Linked DNA regions of Canis lupus familiaris. The protein of the gene in region 1 interacts with the protein of each later gene in a biochemical or structural test. Links are inferred from orthologs where the notes say so. Each region holds a gene or a part of one and is shown on either strand. Other genes may lie near its edges.

Region 1 (10,066 bases):
CTGAGCCTTACTGGCTTGTGATTCCTGGAGGGGGCTCCTTGAATGATTCCAAGGCAACTGAAGCTTCAGGGCCACTGTCCTAAGCAATTCTCTCTCTCTCTCTCTCTCTTTTTAATATTATTTATTTATTCATGAGAGACAGAGAGAAGCAGAGACATTGGTAGAGGGAGAAGCAAGCTCCCTGCGGGGAGCCCGAAGTGGGACTCATCCCAGCCACCTGGGGATCATAACCTGAGCCAAAGGCAGATGCTCAATCACTGAGCCACCCAGGTGCCCCTGTCCTAAGCAATTCTCATAGATGCCTTGGAATTGGTTCTTCTGTGTGTGTTGGGGAGGGCGGGGGCAGGGAAGGAGTTTAGGTCCCAATGTCAGATGAAAATAAATTACCCCTGGTAAATCCTCTTAAAACACTCATAAGATACAGCAGGAATGTTTTTGCAGAGGAAGAAAACCCTGTAGAGCAGCACGTAAGGATAATGCTTACAGTAAGACACATGAGGAATGCGTATGCAAACTATATCTTTATACTATTCTAACTTACAGGAGAAAAGTATGCCTAGAAGTCAAAATGCTCAAAAAAAAAAAAAAAGCAAAATTAAATGCTCCATTTTATGACTTAGTGACACAAAAACACCATGAAATATATATTATAAAGTCCATTTTACGGATGAAGAAGTGGGAGCTCAGTCACTTTAAAGAGATTTGCCCGAAATGATTGGCATGTCAGTAATGGAACCAAGATTCAGACTTAGTTCTGTTTGCTCTTTTCATTAAACTTTTTGAGATAACTGTAGATTCACATGTTGTAAGAATGCAATCTTTTCATTTTGATCACACTGCCAGAGGCCAGTTCTTTTTTTTTTTTTTTTTAAAGACTTTGAGATAGAGAGTGAGAGTGCACAAGTCGGAGGTGGGGAAGGGGCAGAGGGAGAAGCAGGCTCTCCACTGAGCAGGGAGCTCAATGTGGGACTCAATCTCAGGACCCCGGGATTATGAACTGAGCAGACTCTTAACCCACTAAACCACCCAGATGCCCCAAGGGCCAGTTCATTTTTAAGCATTCCCCTGAAGGGTAAAGTTCAGAAATGCTTCAGAAGGTCTTGGGCCACTGCTCTTTTAAACATCTAATTTAAAAGACAATATGCTAGGGGCAGCTGGGTGGCTCAGTGGTTGAGCATCTGCCTTTGGCTCTGGGCATGATCCCGGGGTCCTGGGATGGAGTCCCATATCAGGCTCCCCGCGGGAAGCCTGTCTCTGCCTATGTCTCTGCTTATCTCTCTGTGTCTCTCATAAATAAAAAAATAAAATCTTTAAAAGAATAAATGAAAAAAAACCTATGTGCTATAAACTGGGTAAAAAAAAACAAAACACAAAAAACAATAGATCAGAAGCACAGTGTCAGGAGAGTTGGAACCAAAAATGGCTCCCAAGGCTCCAGGCAGTGATAAGGAGGGAGAGAGGGTGTGCGAGGAGGACATGTCCAATCGGAACCATTGTCACGGTAGGTTATTTAATATCTTTTCATAGTTTTTTCCTACTGCACTTACCCTTCCATCTCCATTTTAATATTAAAGTCTCTCAGAATAAACGCACTTGTCAGAATACAGGACAAAGGCCTCGGGCCTCACCGGGGCCTCTGCCCTGCTGTGGACCTGCAGCTGAGAGAGGGTCACAGGTGCCTACTGACAAGGGTTACCCCATCAGTGGTCTGTCCCTGTGGCAGGTTAGGCATTAGGAGGAAGCCCTCACTGTGTTAGGTACTTAGCATGCATGATCTCATTTAATCCCTAAAGCCCACAGAGTATCTCCATTCTACACAGCAGGAAACGGAGTCTTATTTGGTGCTTTGCCAAAGTGACCGGCTACTCTTTGTACCAGGGCAGATTTAAGCCCTGTTCTAGGCATCTTACATATATTACCTCTAATCCCCATAAGGACTCCATGAAAAGGGTGCCATAATTATGCCATTTTGCAGATGCGAAAGCACTAACTTATTTAAATAACTCTCTCAGCCCAAGAAGTTAGTGGTGAGCCCAGGAAGGGAATCCAGGAGAGGCTCTGGTCTCAAGCCTGAGCCGGCATCACAACCACCTGGACGCAGGAAGGCGCAGACTGCTGGGCCCCAGCCCCAGTTTCGGACTCCGGGGGCGGCCCCTGTGAATTTCCGCTTCTGCAGGTTCACAGGTGAGGTCGGAGCTGCTGGTCTGAGGACACAGCCCTAGAGTCCGCTGCCTTAGTCACTGTGCAACAAATCCCAGGGGCCACCGAAGTACACGTGTTTTTAAAAGTTCCTCTTGGGGAGCGTGTGCAAAAATTATTGAAAATGATTCCCAGAATCTCTGCCCGCGGAGATTTTACCATAGTCCGCGGTGAGTCAAGTCAGACGAGACCGCACCGTGTCCCCGACGCCGAGCGCTCGGCCGCGGGGCGCCTTCTCCCGCCGAACCCGAAGGCAGGGGCGCGGCCCACGTGCGCCCCGACGCAGCGGCCCCGCCCGCGCCCCCAGCGGCCTGCCCGGGCACCCCACCGCGGCCGCCCGCGCGCCCAGCTTTTTTGACGTTATTTTGGTGTCCCTTGGCCCTCCGTGGAGCGAACGGTCTCACGCCTTAGGCGTCTGCAGCCAGAGACACCGCAGTGGGGTCAGACTCGGCCACGCTCTCGGCGAGCGGGCGCGCCCACCCGGGTCCCCGCCGCCCTGGGGGAAGCCGGCGGCGAGGGGCGCCCCGGGGCCGGGCCGCAGCCATGTTGCGCGCCGGGAGCGCCTGGCGGGGCGGGCGGGGCGGTTAGGGGCGCGGCCCCGGGACCCCGCCCCGCCGAGGACTCTCGGGAGCTCGCGCGGCGGGCGCACAGCGCGGACACACCGGCAGCGGGGAGCGCGCGGTCCTCTGCAGGCGCCGCGGGTGAGCGGGCGCGTGGCCCGGGCGGGGGGCGGCGGGCGGCGGGCGGCGGGGTTCGCGCCCCGAGGGGGGCAGGTGTGGCGCGGCCGGCCGGGGGGGTGCGCGGGCCCGGAGCCGGTGGTCCTGGGAAGAGCCGCGCTCGCCCCGCCGCCTGCCGGGCTCGGGGTCCCCTCGGCTCTGTCTCCGGGCGCAAGCAAGCGGCAGGTGGAGCTGAGCCTGCAGGTGTGGCCGCCCCCGCCGCTCCGGCCCGTCCGCCGTCGGCTCCGTCCCCCAAGTGCCCGCCGAGCCCGGGCCGCGTGGGCGCGCGTCCTGCCCGGCCCCTCCCGCCGCGCCCGGCCCGCGGCCCTCCGGCCCCTCCGGGGCGGGGACCATTTTTAAAAAGTGTTTCTCAAAGGCTTGACGGTTGCGGTTTCAGCCGTGGGGCAAACGGTTGCTTCACAAAGTGAAACTTGGTGTCTGCTGGGCTCGGGGCTGGCTTCCTGGAAGTCCGGGGAGCACCTCGGAGGACGCCCCGCCCGCTTGCGCGTCCCCGAGTGGGGCCCCCTCCGCCGGGCCCCCTCCCCACTAGGTCCCCTCCACCCGGGCCACCTCCCTCGGGGTCTCCTCCCCACTAAGTCCCCACCCCCGGGCTCCCTCCCCAGTAGGTCCCCACCCCCCCGGGCCCCCACCCCCCGAGGTCCCCTCCCCACTAGGTCCCCTGCCCCGGGGCCCCTCCGCCGGGGCCTCCTCCCCACTAGGTCCCCTCCTCCGGGCCCCCTCCCCACTAGGTCCCCACCCCCGGGCCCCCTCCCCACTAGGTCCTCACCCCCCGGGCCCCCTCCCCACTAGGTCCCCTCCACCCGGGCCCCTTCCCCACTAGGTCCCCTCCACCCGGGCCCCCTCCCCACTAGGTCCCCACCCCCCCGGGCCCCCACCCCCCGAGGTCCCCTCCCCACTAGGTCCCCTGCCCCGGGGCCCCCTCCCCACTAGGTCCCCTCCACCCGGGCCCCCTCCCCTCTGGGTCCCCACCCCCCCGGGCCCCCTCCCCTCTAGGTCCCCACCCCACCCACGCCCCCTGCGCGGGCCTCCTCCCCACCAAGTCCCCACCCGCGCCGGGCCCCCTCCCCCTTCCCCCGGTCCCCTCCCCCGCGGGGCCCGCCCGGCCCGCCGTAATTGCAGGTTGGGCGGTGACTCAGGCGGGCGCCCGCCCGGCCGGTTCTTAAGCGGCAGCGCGGGGCGGGCGCGGAGAGTCGGGCGAGGCGGCGGCTGCGCGCGCTGAAGGGCGTCCGTCTGCTGCAGGTCCCGGGAGCGGTCTCAGCTGCTGCGGCCGAGTCGAGTTTCCAGCGGAGTGAGGAAAGCCCGCGAGGAACCCAAGATGCCGAAGCCAGTAAGCGGCCGGGACCCCGGGGCGGGGGCGGGCTTCGTGGGTCGGGGAGGGAGCTCGCGGGGGCCGCGCGCCCTGCGGTCCTTCTGTTCGGGAGCCCCCCCCCCCCCCCCCGCCCCAGGAGTTTATGCTCTTTTGTAAAAGAAAGTTCGGCCTGCTTGAAAACTCTATTCTAACGTCGCTCGGAAGTTTCTCAATAAGAAGTTGTCCAGGTGACGGAGGGGCCGCTGGCTTCCGACGACGCCCGTCGGCTCGAGTCCTTGGGTGGGTCGGGACCGGACCCGCCCACGCCCTGCTCTGGGGCCTGAGCGGCCGGGCTCGGGCTCCGTCTTTCTGGCTGCAGCTGCCTGCCAGCCGCGCTCCGCGCCCCCGGGGGTGCTGGTGGCTGCAGGATCCCTGTCCCTGACAGAGGTTGGGTAGTGACCTGAGTCGCCGATGAAGGAGGGCGGCCCTGCTCTCCGGTCGTGCGCCCCGGGGCCGCCTCGTAAACGTCCGCACCCTGGTCCCCTGAATCTGATTGTGTTGCTCCCAGGGTTAGATCCCCGCCCAGGCTGGGGGGGGAGGGGGGACGTTCATTTAGTGGGGGGAGCAACGCAGGTTCTTTGTGACCAGCATTTCTTGGAAAGCTGTCTGTATCTACCTGCTTTAACACAGGGGAACTGTGGCTAGATGTTGGGGAGAGGATTTGACATTTTTTTAAAGGTTTTGACTCAGGATGGAAGAAGATACGTGCATTCATTACAAATTGCACTTAAAGATATAGAATTCTAGTTTTTCAAACGAGTTCGTTCTGTAGTCCATGCTAATGCATTTTCCAGCAGCAAGTCGTAGAGTCTCTAAAAGGAGTTCTTTATTAATCAAGGGTTTACTGTTAGATTAAATAAATTACTATGTTAATATGCTATCAGCTTCAGAAACCAATATAGTTTTTGTCTAGATTACATAATTAAGATGATTGATTCGTGCTGCAGAAAATGTTTTTTCCTACGCAAAACTCTTCTTTTTGTTTCACACTTGGCACATGGCACCCAGGCTTTACAATGCCTGTGATGTAAAACTGATGTAAACTCAACCAGTTACTCAGGGCACAGCCCCATGCAGCCTTTTGCTGAGCAGCCGTCAAGACGTTACCGTAGGTATTGGTTTTCTTTATTTCACTGAAAACAGGCAGAGTTTAGCTTTTAAGATATCACTCTGAAAAAAGGCAGTAAACCAGTTTCCTGTCACTGCTTTTCTTTCTCATTTCTCAAAATGATCTGTGATTTCTTTTATTCTTTTTATTGCAGTAAATATACGTAAAAATACAATTTGTTATCTTAATCATTCTTTTTTTTATTTTATTTTATTTATTTATGATAGTCACAGAGAGAGAGAGAGAGGCAGAGACATAGGAAGAGGGAGAAGCAGGCTCCATGCACCAGGGAGCCCGACATGTGGGATTCGATCCCGGGTCTCCAGGATCGCGCCCTGGGCCAAAGGCAGGCGCCAAACCGCTGCGCCACCCAGGGATCCCCATCTTAATCATTCTTAAGTGTATAGTTCAGTGGCATAGGTATATTCACCACCACCATCCATCTCTACAATTTTTTATCTTTTGAAACTGAAACTCTAACCATTAAATACTAACTCCCCATCCTCTCCCCCAGCCCTTGGTACCCACCCTTATACTTCCTGTCTCTACCACTTTGACTACTCTTAAGGTCCTCATATAAGTGGAATCACACAATATGGTCCTTTTGAGACTGACTCACATCACTAGTATACTGTCTTCAAGGTTCATCCATGTCGTAGCATGTGTTAGAATTTCCTCACTTTTTTAAGGCTCTTTTTTTTTTTTTTTTTTACTACTTACGGCAGGTATATTTTAATTGTATAAAGATAGATACATTTGAATGGTTGGGGTTTTGGGCTTCTACCTGAATCCTTGAATTCAGCAGGCACAGTAATTTTGATTGATATCTAAACTGTCAGTAGACAACTAAAACAGTGTGAATGAAATATTTATTTGCTGTTTTTTCTCAGTATTACTTCTCGAATCACCACTTGTTAGATTGGGTGTTCACTCATTTAGCAAGCATCTGTCCTGCAAGCTGTGTGCACAAGGCGTGGATAGGTGAGACCAAGCTTGTCTCCGGGGAGCTTATAGTCTAGGACCCAAGCCAGAACACGCACGAATGCTGAAGTAGAAGCTGGAATACTGAGTACCACCAAAGAGGGGGAGAGGCTTAGGTCAAGTGCAACACCGTTGGGAGGAAAACCATCCCATGGGGAAATGCGTAGACTTTATTGAAGTTATCCTTCAGCTGAGAAGTTACCCTTCAGCTAAGTCTTGCTCGAGGGCTGTGGGTAGGATTTGATCAGCGTGGGTACTCCACGGGAGGCACTATTATCTGGTTTTGCTTTTCCCACAACTGTTTTGGGGCTCTACTCATGTAGACTTCCAAGGAGGAGGGTTTGAGGTCCAGAAGACACCACACCCTCTGCTCAGCTGATTGTTTGACCTTGTGGGCCCCTCTCATCTGGGGAGAGGCGCGGGGGGTTTGTGTCCAAGGATCTGGCTCAGGAAGCAGGCCTTGTGCCAGTGGTTCAGCCAAGGGTGACCTGGGGTCCTCCTTCCTCTTTACTTCTTAACTACCACACTTGCTTTCTTCATTGTGATAGGAAGGAGGCATAGGGCGGTAGAAAGGAAAACCACAGCAGTCAAGTTTAGGAATGATGCAAGCCAAGCTCTCTTAAATCTTTTCTGAGCTTAAGGGGTACTGGCAGATGCTGTAACTTCATTTCTAAAGTTTTGATGTGAAAGTTTTTAATATAAAAGATTTTTCCTTTCCGTAGGAAAACTGAAAGCATGTTCAAAATTCCACCCTGTGCCAAAATGTTAAGATAATTTCTGAGATTACTTTGCCTCTCTGGGAATATATAGCCTTTTCCACTAAATTTTTTTTCTGTACCCACTGTGGAATAAGTCCTTGTTTCTTAGCTTCATGTTGCAGGTTCCTGGTCTATAAAATGGGGCTGCTGGCAGTACCTAATTCATAATGGTACATGAGACAGTTAATGTCCATTAAATATTTTAACAGACAGGATTTACTGAATCTACTGGTTCATTTTCCAGCAAACCCCCCCCCCCCCCCCCCCCCCCCCCCGCCCCAATCAATTGAGGAGGACACATGGGATGTGTTTTCTGTGTATCCCTCCTTCACCGCGGGCAGATGGTGAATTAGATAGCTAAGATTTTCCCATGTGGTGAGAAGTGCTGGCTAGGATTAGTCATTTATCATCACACTGTTTGTAAGGCACAGTGAGTCTATTTGTACATTCATCCATTAGTTCAGCAGGCATTTATGCATTATTCTGCTAGAAGTTGAGGCTACCAAGATGAGCAGACACAGAAATATTCCCTGGCGTCGTGGATTTACAGTCTGGTGATTGGAACAGACAGTAATCCTAGAATAACTTGAGTGCATATAATGGCGTTTCTGTGGTGGTTATTGGCAGAAGTGTTAGGGAAGACAGGAAGGCACCCCAGGAGGTGATGACTGTTCAAGCAATGTGAGGAATGGAGGGGTCTTTACTAGGTGAAGGAGGGAAGCCAGAGCAAAACAGCTAGAGGGAACAACTTGTACAAAGGTCCTGTGGTGGGAGGGGAGTAGGATGAGTTCAGGGTTCTAGATGAGAATGTGTATGGCTAGAGAGGAATATCAGGCCAGCTGTGCAGAGCCTAGCAGGCCATAAGAGGGCATTTTCAGGACTTAATTCAGGGGGAAACACTGAAGGGTTTTGATTGGAAGGAATTTGGCTTTTGAAAGGTCATTTCAGCTGCACTAAGAGAATCAGTAGGAGGGAGGAGGTGAAGGTGCAAGGGTAGACTCTTGGAATAGCGTGGACCATGGGAGTGTGATGCAAATGGAGAGAAGTGGATGTGTTTGGGAGCTCTTTGATAGGACTTGGTGGGTAAATTGGGTGCAGAGGGCAGAGTGTAGCTGACTTCTGGAGTCTGGCTTGCATAACTGGTTGGATGGTAGTGCCATTCACCGAGATAAGGAACCTGGAAGAAGACCAGGTGTGGAAGGGAGGGTTGAGAGTTTGGTTTGTACTTGCTGACAAATTTGTGACTGTGATCAATGAAAGGAGTCCTTGCCTTCTTCCATGTTTATAATTGCAACCTCCTAAAATACATACAAATGTCAGTATTTTTCTTAAACTACAGTGTGTTTTAAATTCACATAGACTAAAAGTAATCCAGCTTCATCACACGTGTATACTGCACACACATAAAGTTAAAAGTTAGGTTTTCATGCTTTATTCTCAAACTTTGGCATATGTAATTCTCTGGACACCTGAAGATTCCCGGGTCCCTCACAGTACTACTGAATCCCCATCTTTAGGGCCAGGTGCTTTCAGTAAGCTCTCCCCAGATGGATCTGATGGACTTTGGGAACTGCTGATTTCATAAGGAAAAGGTAGTTTATATATTCATTCCCTCGGAATCTCTGCGATGCAGGGAGGCCCTCTTGATGGGTGGGGTTGATGCCGATGGTTGTGTGTGAGCAGAGACCAGAACCCATGGTATGTTTAGGGGGACAGCAAAACCCAGTGTGATTCCAAAGCATCCATTCAGGCAAATGTTCATGCAGGCTTGGGAGTGGATATTGAGTCGCCTTCTTGAAGTTAGTTGCAACTTAAATGCCATGGGTGCCATCACTGGTATTTGGAATGTGGCTGGGGTGGGGATGAAGAAGATAACTGGATGGATCTCAAACTCCAGAAAGACAGGAGCTAAGATGTCTAATTGGATCTCTCTGATTCAAACTTATCTCTGCAGGAGTCCAGTTGCAGAGCTTAATTTGGCAGTGACCAGTGGGCTCTCTCAAATTTTGGTTTTCTTGTTTTTAAAGGGGAAATAGAGGCAGCCATTGTTCATTAAATAGCAGGGAAGAGAGATCCCATTCCTCATTCCTCTTTTTCTCTTCTGGTCTTCCACACTGGCTTCTCTGGTTAGTCACTGTCCTAAGTAGTAATGTGATTTCTAACGAAAACTTTAATCAGTTTATGAATACTTACAGTTTGGGAAAGGAAAACAATATTGCTATTCTTACTGAATTATGATTACTCTATTTTACTTAAACTTCTGGGCTTCTTTGACATTTTGAAGATTCTTAGGCTGATTCAGTATATGCCTGCTTCACCTCTGATCTGAAGCAATAAAATTCACAGCCTGCTTTTAAAATCGGTGAATGCATTTTGAGTTATTCCTAATATTTTATTTCATTTCAGTGGTAGCTACACTTAGGGGAATCCCCAGTTACTCCAGTTGGTTTTGTTTTGTTTTGCTTTGCTTTTTTTGTTGTTGTGTTTTAAGTAGGCTCCATGCCCAGGGTGGAGCCCAACCTGGGACTCTGTCTCACGACCCTAAGATCACAACTTGAGCCAAAACCAAGAGCCAGCCAGGCACCCCAGCTCCAATTAGTTTTTAAGTTAAGCACTAAATGTATGGTTGCCACTACTAATTAGAGAATATTTACTGAAGAGACTAAAAGATTGCATTATTTTCCTTCTAAGAGTCTTACCATTCATGTCTGTGGCATAAAGAATGAAGATCTTATTGTAGACTTCAGTAGTTTATTTAGTAATCTCTACATCTGATGAGGGGCTCAAACTGAGGACCCTGAGATCAGGAGTCATGTACTCTTCAACTAAGCCAGCCAGGCACTCCTAGTTGTTTTGTTCTCTTTTAGAAAAGAAATGATGCTATAATATGACTTAGAGACTTTTTTTTTTTTTTTAAGATTTTTATTTATTTATT
Region 2 (10,034 bases), on another chromosome or scaffold:
CCTACCCCCACAGAACAGGGAGGAGGCTGAGGGTGACCCGGTGCAGAACTGAACTTTGGGTTAATCAACTCGAAGGGCTTAATACTGTGTCTGGAGAAGTGTTTGCTATTGTCATTAGTATTATGATTGCTATTTCCTGTTTTGTGGGATACTCTGCCAGACTCTGAAATAAGTCAGATTTTCTGTTCCTGAGAAAATCACAGTTAAAAAAAAAAAAAAAAAAAAGGAAGGAAGGAAGAGGACTAAATTGGAACTACTTACAATGTTATTAGTACTCATAAAAGTTCCTGTTTATTTAGAGTTTTCCTTAGACTTTCCAAATGTCATTCACCTTCGTTCACACAGCAACCAAGTGAAATCTCTATTATTCTTCTCCTTTATAGATGAAGAAACTGAGGCCCAGAGAGGTGGGGTTGAGGTGATCCACCCAAGAACAGACACGTAGCCAGAAAGAAGCCCTGCTGGGGTTAGAAGGTGAGTCACCCAGACTCCAGACCAGTGTGTACACCTGCCTCCTTGATGTCACATCCAGGGACTCCAATGGCCCCTCTCCCAGCCTCTGTCCTGGACTCTGCCTTTGGCCTCCTCTGTCAATCCCAGGCGCCTGAGACTCTTACAGGGAAGCCTCTCAGGGTGCTCAGGCACAGTCTTGAGGGACTCCACACTGCCAGGCTGGATCTGCTCCCAGCTGCAGCTACAGTGCCCCTCCCAGGCATGTATACCAAACCCTGGGCCTCCTTTGGGAAGCATCGTATACCCTCAACAACTCAAACCTTGATCTCAACTATGACCCTGGCTACTATGAAAAATCTTTAACATCTTACTGTAGGAATCCCCTGCTTTCCAAAAATACCATTACACCACTTCATTTTTATGAAAGACCTACATTAATTGTTAGTACCTGTTCTCACTAAGTAAAAGAAATGCAAAGAGGATTTTTGCTTTTAAGAAAAAATGACAAAGGGTGCCTTGGCATAATTGGTTAGGCCTCTGACCCTTGGTTTCAGCTCAGGTCATGATCTCAGGGTCATGAGATCAAGCCCTGTATTGGGCACTGCGCTCAGCTCAGAGTCAGCTTGAGATTCTCTCTCCCTCTCCCTCTGCCCCTTCTGCTTATGCTCTCTCTCAAATAAATAAATAAATAAACCTTTAAAAAAAAATTTGGTGAGAAGCAAAGATAGCACTCAGCATTGGATTTGCAATGAGGAGTTACAAAGACAGCAGGCACCCTGTGCAGTGACAATGGCGGTCAAGCTCCTTCACCAGGATCACACTCAGCGTCTCTAGCAGCAGATGAGCTTTGACTTGTGTCTGCGAGCATCGGTGCTTTAGCTCCATTTATTTGGTACATCCATCAGCAAGATGTATCCTATGGTACCAGAAAAGCCTAGGAGAGGTTAGTTTTTGGGTCTGAGAATACTCAAGGTTTTTTCGATATAAATTAATTACTTCTTCACTTTACATCATTTTGTTTTTTAACAATTTTATTTATTTATTCATGACAAACACACAGAGAGAGGCAGAGACATAGGCAGAGGGAGAAGCAGGCTCCCTGCAGAGACCCTGATGCGGGACTTGATCCCAGGACCCCGGGATCATGACCTGAGCCAAAGGTAGACACTCAGCCTCGAACCATCCAGGTGCCCCTACATCATTTTGACTTACAAAGGTTTTATAGGACTGCTTTACTTTGGGATAGTTGGAGAAACCTGTATTTATAATTTCAGAGTACTTAACAAAGAGGCCCCCATCTCAGTCTCAGGCACCACTGGTCAGAGATGATGATGTGCTGGCAAATGCTACTAATGCTCAGGAACTAGGGGATGGGGTGTGGTGGGATAGCCCCAACCTGGAGGACTTGCCAATCTCTAAAGTGTACATAACTCCCACTCTGGCTGCTTTTTTTTTTTTTTTTTTTTTTTTTTCCTGGCTGCTTTTAAGCTACAATGTGGCCCAGGGTTTGGAAGAGATGAGTACCATTGGCTCCTGTGAGCCAGAACCATGTCCTGACACACCCACATCCAAATCGACTCACACACAGACACCTATTGACACAGAAACAGGCACTCACACACAGTCCTGGATCCTGACATCAACGTACTCACTTTCACATTCACGCACACACACAGAGACTCATAGACACCCACACAGGCACACACAAATAGGCAGACAGATGCTCATGCATCTGTAGGTACACATGTACACTCCTACAGACATACATAGACTCACAGACACACACACAGGTACACAGACAAACACAGATGCTGGCCCGCAGCAGGAGCATACACATGGTCACATCCGTATACCACACTTATCTATGGAGGCTTCACGAAACAGTAAGAACCATGAGTGACATACTCTATTTTCTGATCATCATATTCCTTTAAATGCAAAGAAACTCTGGCAGGAACCATAAGAAACTGGTAGCAATGGGAGCTGGGGAGATAGACTCATCTGTTAGGAGCAAGGACTTGAGAGCCAGATGACTGGCTTCTCCACTCATGGACTGTGAGCCCTGCCAAGTGACTTTACCCCACTAAGTTCTGTGGTCCTCATCTGTGGAGGGAGGCTCCTAAGTGTACCTCCCCAGCCTGGAGCTTTTTAAGGATTGGATGAGCACCTAGTGCCCACACTGAAACAGTGAGCACTCCCAGCCAGCACTAGGAAATGAGGAAATGGAGGTTGACTTTTATGCCTTGTTATAACTTTTGATTTTGGAACCACATGCATGAATTATTACCTGCCATAAGAATAAAATAAATAGGGGCACCTGGGGGGCTCAGTTGCTTAAGCATCTGCCTTCAGCTCAGGTCATGATCCCAGGGTCCTGGGATTGAGCCCCGCATCAGGCTCCCTGCTCATCAGGGAGTCTGCTTCTCCCTCTGTCCCTCACCCTGCTCGTGTTCTCTCTCTCTCTCTCTTGCTCTCTTCCTCTTTCAAATAAATAAAATCTTTTTAGAAAAAAGAATAAAATAAATAACAGACATGAGACATCTTTGAAAAAATGCTTGTTGGGACCAAGTAAATTGATCTCACAGCTGTTGCCTTGGCATATGGTTGAGATGCATCTCTCTCTCTCTCTCTCTCTCTCACACACACACACACACACACACACACATTCAGGTTCAGACTCTGGGTCAGAGGACTGGTCCATCTCTGCAAACTCGGGGTTCCCTGCTCCCCCTGCACCACTGGTCATCTACCCCCACTACTGCCCAAGGCCAGTCCCAACTCTAGGTGCCATCACTCACGGTATACTGTGATCTCAGAGGAGCCTACCATCTGGATGTCATTGCAGAAGCCGGAGCAGAGGACCTGGCTGTCACTAGTCACATTGCTTAGCAGGAAGGCTGCCCAGCCCAGGCCGTTGCCCACTGGCTTCTTGGCTAGGGATGTCTCTAGAATGATGAGTCGAGGATTGGGGCAGTCTGTACTGCAGTTTACCAAGAAGGACCCTCCAGCAGGCACCAGAGTGTTCTCGACCTCCAGCCTCATTTGGTATTGCTGTGCCCGGGCACCTGTGGAAACAGAGGGACACTCTGCTGATTGTTCGGGTACCCCTACTTACCCACCTGCAGGCCCCACCTTTCAACATGACCTCGCTGCCTTCACGGTGCCTCAGTCGAGTGGGGAAGACAGATGATGGATCAGGAACTGGGGGAAAGCCCAGAGAAAGACTAGGGGAGACCCTGATGCAGCCCGTGAGCCCTCCTTCCAGAAGAAGGAGACAAAGCCAGTTTTGAAGGGAAAGTAGAAGTTATCTGAGTGAAAGAAAAGTGATCCTGGCAGAGGGAAGAGTAGCGACAGAGGTCCAAAGGGATTCTGTGTTGGGGTGGGAGACAAGTCACATGCAGGAACTAGTCCTCGGGGAGCCCCAAAGGCTGAGGTGAAGAGCCAGAACTTTCTATTGAGGCCACTGGAGAGTCCCTGTTGATGTGAGTTTAAGGAAGTGTCACTGCAGCCAGGGCAGCAGGGGGGTGCTCTTCCCTGCCTACTCCCCCAGCCTCTACCAGCCCCCCATCTCCAGCCCTCTCCAGCCTGACTTGCCTCACCTGAGGGCGGCAGACAGCAGACCAGAAGCAGGGAGATGAGTGAGTTCCCGTAGGCCCCCAGCAGCAGCCCCGAGGGCAACATGGTGACCAAGCTGCAAAAGGAAGTTGCCTTAATGAGGGCAGGGGGAAGCAGGCAGAGCACTCGGGGACGGAACCACAGTCACTGTCGAAATTGCAGAAGTTCAGGGGTTACTTTTTTGCCCAGAGCTGGGGAGGGCAGGAGAGATATTCTGTGGCCCAGGGGGTCCAGAGTAGGGCACCCGGCCAGCTGGACGTGGTGGCTGGTGAGTCTTGGACAGGGAAGGCCTGACTTCAACTGCTGAGCCTCCAAATGAACCAACAGGAAATGTTCACGCGGTTATCTTTGTTCTCTGAACTAGGAAGACTGGGGTGAGGTGGAGGAGGTGAGACACCTCCTTCCTGCTGAACTTGGGTAAAAGAGGGGTGTTCTGTTTCAGAGAGGAAGTTAGCAGGGGATCTCCAGACCGGGACTGTCGTTGAGGTGATAAGGTGGGATTTCAAGGCAACGTTTCAGGAGGACAAGGAGGGGACGTCTATGCGGGGTGTAAAGGCATCAGCATGAGCTCTCCATATTCCTGGGATGAGGCAAATAAGAGGTGTGGGGGCGATGAGGGACCCCTAAGATGAGTGAAGACATGGAAATGAGCAGAGTCCACATCGATTGGGCCCTTGTGCCTGGCTCTGTGTTGACCTGTCTGCATGGCTGCTATGGGGCCCTTTACCTTTGAAGATCTCCAACGGTCTCCCCCATTCCCTGTGGTCCATGCTGAGGTGGGGTGTTTGGAGCACAGCTGAATCCCGAACCACTGACTGTCGAAGATGCCCCTTATAACTGGCCCTCAGCACCGTCCTTATGACCTCCTTGCATGCTACTCCAGGCAGCTGGCTTCTCCACACCCCAAAAATGGACTGGGGGGCCAGATGGTTACACCAATTTCCACTTGCTCCATCTCTCGAGTTTTGACCTTCCTTTGTGCCTCTGATCCGAGCTCCAGAAAGAAACCTCGTTGAGGTCCCCGATGGCACCCAGCATCCAACCATCTCCCCATCCTAAGGCCATGCCCCCTCCTCTCTGAACTGGACCATCCCCCCATCCCATGTGGCCTCTCCCCTGCTGCCCCTCCCAACCACCCATCTCCCACAATATCCTGAGAGAGTGACCAAAACCCAAATCAAAACTATTTGTAAATAATACTGGTCTCCCTCACTTTTCTAAAGTTCCGTTACGCCACTTCACTGTTATGAAAGCCCTCCATCAGTACCTCTTTTTTGTTAGCCAAAAGAAAGGTGATGATAATTTTCCCTTTTATGAGAAAAGATGAAAGCAAAAATAGTATTCAACACTGGTTTTACAGTGGACATTATAGAGGAAGTGCCCCCCGGGAAGAGTGGCGCCACCAAGGCTTCTCCACCAGTCTATTGGTTTTTTTAAAAAGAGTTTATTTATTCATGAGAGACACACAGAGACAGAGACACAGGCAGAGGGAGAAGCAAGCTCCACGCAGGGAGCCTGATGTGGGACCCGATCCTGGGACCGAGGGATCACATCCCGAGCCAAAGGCAGATGCCCGACTGCTGAGCCACCCAGACGTCCCACTTTATTTAGGCTGTTTTGACTTACGAAAGATTTCATAGGAACGCTTTACCCACGCGTGGCTGGGGAAACCTGTATATCTGTCAAGGGCTTATCTCCAGGTTATAGAAATTCTTGGAAGTTACAGAGGAAGTTAACAGGGGATCTCCAGCACTGTCCTTGAGGTGATAAGGTGGATTTCCTTTTTTTTTTCTCTAAAGATTTTATTTATTTATTCATGAGACACACACACACACACAGAGGGAGAGAGAGAGAGAGGCAGAGACACAGGCAGAGGGAGAAGCAGGCTCCATGCAGGGAGCCCGATGCGGGACTCAATCCTGGGTCTCCAGGATCACACCCTGGGCTGAAGGTGGCGCTAAACCGCTGAGCCACCTGGCTGCCCCCAAGGTAGGATTTCAAGGCAATATTTCAAGAGGATACTTGGGGGGACTTCTAGGAAGGGTCTAAAGGCATTAGCACAAGAGCTCGATATTCTTGGGGGTGGGGGAGACACAAATACAAGACCACAACTCAACAGCAAACAATAAATAAAATAAAATAATGGGCAAAGGACTTGAATAGACATTTCTTCAAAGACACTATATAAATGGCCCATAAACACACACAAAAAAAGATGCTGAAGATTACTAGTCTTTAGGGAAATGCAAATCAAAACCAGAATGCAATAGCACTTCACAACTATTAGGATGGCTATCATCAAAAAAATAAACCAAAAAACCCTGCAGAAAACAATTGTCAACAAGGATGTGTAGGAGTTGGAACTCCCCTACTCTGCTGGTGGGAATATAAAATGGTGCAGGCACTGGGGAAACCAGTTGAGCGGCTCTCTTCAAAAAGTTAAACATAGAGTTATAAAACAAACCAACAAAAATGTAGAATTATATTACCCAGCAAACCAACAAAAATGTAGAATTATATGACCACTCCTAGGTAGGTATATCCTAAAGGGACTCAAACAAATACATATATGTACACCGATGTCCACAGCAGCACTCTTCACAAAAGCTGAAAGGTAGAAGCAACCTGAGTGTCCATCAGCAGATGAATGGATAAAAAAAAATATATGGTATATACATATGCATATACATAGAGTCAAATATTATTCAGCCCTACAAAGAAAAAGTTCTAACATGTTACAGCATGGCTGAACCTCAAAAACAGTACACCAAGTGAAATAAGCCAGGCACAAAAGGACAGATAGTCCACTCATGAGGTAGGTACCTAGAACAGACAAATTCGTAGAGAAAGTAGAATGGTGGGACACTAGGGGGCCTCAGCGGTTGAGTGTCTGCCTTCAGCTCAGGGCATGATCCCAGGATCTGGGATCGAGTCCCATATTGGGCTCCCTGCGGATAGCCTGCTTCTCCTTCTGCCTATGTCTCTGCTTCTCTCTCTCTCTCTCTCTCTCTCTCTCTCATGAATAAATGGATAAATCTTTAAAAAAAAAAAAAGTAGAGTGGTGGTTACCAGGGGCTGAGGGAGGAGTGGAATGGGGAGTCCGTGTTAATGGAAACAGCTTGGGAAGATGAAAAAGTTCTGTACACAGTGCTGTTGGTTACACAACATTGTGAATACATTTAATGCCACTGAACCATACACCTAAAAAATGGTTAAAATGGTAAGATTTATATTTCGTTGGGTTTTTTTTTGTGTGTGTGTGCTTTTAAAGATTTTGTTTATTTGAGAGAGAGCAGGAGTGAGAGTAGGGAGGGGCAGAGAGAGAGGGAGAACCAGGCTCCGTGGTGAGCAGGGAGCCTGATATGGGGGTCAATCCCAGGACCCTGGGATCATGACCTGAAGCTGAAGGCAGGCTCTTTTTTTTTTTAAGATTTTATTTGTTTATTCATGAGAGACAGAGAGAGAGGCAGAGACACAGGCAGAGGGAGAAGCAGGCTCCAGGCCGGGAGCCCAACACAGGACTCGATCCCAGGTCTCCAGGATCATACCCTGGGCCAAAGGTGGCACTAAACTGCTGAGCCACCTGGGCTGCCCTGAAGGTAGGCTCTTAACCAACTGAGCCACCCAAGCACCCCAAGAGTTATATTTTGTTTATTTTACCACAGAAAAATAAAAGACATATGCTTATTTTGATTTGTATCCAAGACATGAGATGGATTGCTGGATGAATAGAGGAATGGATAGATCCAGTATGATCAAGCACATTTAAGCAGGTAAATTTGGCAATTCAGGTAATTATGGAAGCTAAAGGTATTCACTGTATTGCTCTTCTAACTTTTTATTTTAAGGTTTTATTTATTTAAGAGCGAGCAACAAGTGCATGCGCACATGAGTGGAAGGGAGGAGCAGAGGGAGATGGACAAGTAAGCTCAACACTCAGTGTGGAGCTGGACATGGGGCTCCATCTCATGACCCTGAGATCATGACCTGAGCTGAAATCGAGTCAGATGCTTAACTGACTGAACCACCCAGGCGCCCCTTAACAATGCTTCAGTACAAAAATGTTGGAAAATAAAAACTGGATCCTTGATGGATCTGAGTGGCTGCTTGAGTCTCAAAAGGAGCGACAAGCTGACTTCGAGTGCCTCCTGCTGAGAAGGCACAATGCCTTTTGTAAAAGTCTACCCAAGAAATGGAAACTGAACCTGACCATTGGTTGGTCAAGGTGAGGACAGAGGAACATGTTAAACTACACCACAGGGGTGACATGGGACTGAGAATCCCTACAGGACGAACAATCCAGTATCTTTTTTTTTGTTTTTAATTTATTTATTTATGATAGTCACAGAGAGAGAGAGAGAAAGAGGCAGAGGCACAGGCAGAGGGAGAAGCAGGCTCCATGCACCGGGAGCCCGATGTGGGATTCGATCCCTGGTCTCCAGGATCGCGTCCTGGGCCAAAGGCAGGCGCCAAACCGCTGCGCCATCCAGGGATGTATTGCAAGGGGGAAAAAAAGAAAAGAGGAGCCTAGAACTTCAAGGAGGGTGCCCTTAATCCACTGCAGGACCATGGGCCTTGTTTGCATTTTTATTGGAACCAACTGTAAACAAACACTAAATATTTAAGAAATCATTGGGGGAATCCAAACACCTACAGGCTACACAAAAATATTGAGGAATTATTTTGAAGCTTTTTAGGTGTGATAATGACAGTACTGTTTGTGGTCTGTCTCTTCAAGATGCATACAGGTGAAATGATGTCTGCGATTTGCTTCAAAAGTCTCCAGTGGCTGGGGTAGGGATGGGGTAGAGCTGAAACTAGACTGGCAATGGGTATCAGAAACTGCTCGTGTTGGCTGTTAAGTTCAGGTTTGTTACATTATAATTCCCTGTTTTGCATATGCTGTAAATGGTCCATATATATTTTTAAATAAGTAGCTACACAAGAATAAGCATGATCATTTCTTAAAAAAAAAGGTGTTATTATTTATTAATGAGAGACAGAGACATAGGCAGAGGAAGAAGCAGGCTTCCTGTGGGGAACCTGATGCAGGACTCAAACCCAGGACCCTGGGATCACAACCTGAGCCAGAGGAAGATGCTCAACCACTGAACCACTCAGGCGCCCAGCAAGAGCATATATATTTTTTAAGATTTTATTTATTCATGAGAGACACAGAGAGAGGCAGAAACATAGGAAGAAGGAGGAGAAGCAGGCTCCCTGCAAGGAGCATGATGTGGGACTCAATCCCAGGACCTTGGGATCACACCCTGAGCCAAAGGCAGACGCTCAACCATTGAGCCATCCAGGCATCCCAAGATCATTTTTTAAAAAGATTTATTTAGGGGGATCCCTGGGTGGCTCAGCGGTTTAGCGCCTGCCTTTGGCCCAGGGCGTGATCCTGGAGTCCCGAGATCGAGTCCCACATCAGGCTCCCTGCATGGAGCCTGCTTCTGCCTCTGCTTGTATCTCTGCTTCTCTCTCTCTCTCTCTCTCTCTGTATCTCTCATGAAGAAATAAATAAAATCTTAAAAAAAAAGATTTATTTATTTGAGAAAGAGAGAGAGTAAGGGGAGGGGCAGAGGGAGAGGGTCTTCATGCAGATACCCCACTGAGCACAGAGCCTGAAGTGGGGCTTGATCTGACAACCCTGAGATATCATGACCCTGAGATTCTGAACTGAGCCACAACTAAGAGTCAGATGCTTAATGGACTGAGCCCCCCGCAGCGCCGCAAGAATAAGCAGGATAATTTTGGAAAGAGACTGCCCTATCCAATATCAAAATATATTCTTGGGGCAACATCTTTTACCAGGTGGGCAATTACCAGGCCTGTTCCTGCAAGCATCTATTCCCATTGAGAATTTGTGCTACAGATACTCTTGAACCTGGGTAAACCACCATATACTAGAACAAGGAAACACTATAGGCCTGGATATGTGAGACCATCTCAAAATTACCTGTCAG

Evidence for each region.
Region 2: the proteins of EZR (region 1) and ICAM3 form a complex in vitro, tested with the Homo sapiens proteins (2 studies listed by BioGRID). The link is inferred for Canis lupus familiaris from reciprocal best matches to the Homo sapiens genes EZR and ICAM3.

Annotation. Positions count from the first base shown.
Region 1 is NC_049222.1:48,697,312-48,707,377, reverse strand, and holds the start of EZR (ezrin), read left to right. Parts: upstream 1-4,112; 5' UTR 4,113-4,251; coding exon 4,252-4,263; intron 4,264-10,066. UniProt on the Homo sapiens protein: Probably involved in connections of major cytoskeletal structures to the plasma membrane. In epithelial cells, required for the formation of microvilli and membrane ruffles on the apical pole. Along with PLEKHG6, required for normal macropinocytosis.
Region 2 is NC_049241.1:51,169,234-51,179,267, reverse strand, and holds the start of ICAM3 (intercellular adhesion molecule 3), read right to left. Parts: upstream 4,840-10,034; 5' UTR 4,825-4,839; coding exon 4,796-4,824; intron 4,397-4,795; exon of another isoform or gene 4,145-4,396; coding exon 4,053-4,144; exon of another isoform or gene 4,048-4,052; intron 3,519-4,047; coding exon 3,252-3,518; intron 1,379-3,251; exon of another isoform or gene 262-1,378; intron 1-261. UniProt on the Homo sapiens protein: ICAM proteins are ligands for the leukocyte adhesion protein LFA-1 (integrin alpha-L/beta-2). ICAM3 is also a ligand for integrin alpha-D/beta-2. In association with integrin alpha-L/beta-2, contributes to apoptotic neutrophil phagocytosis by macrophages.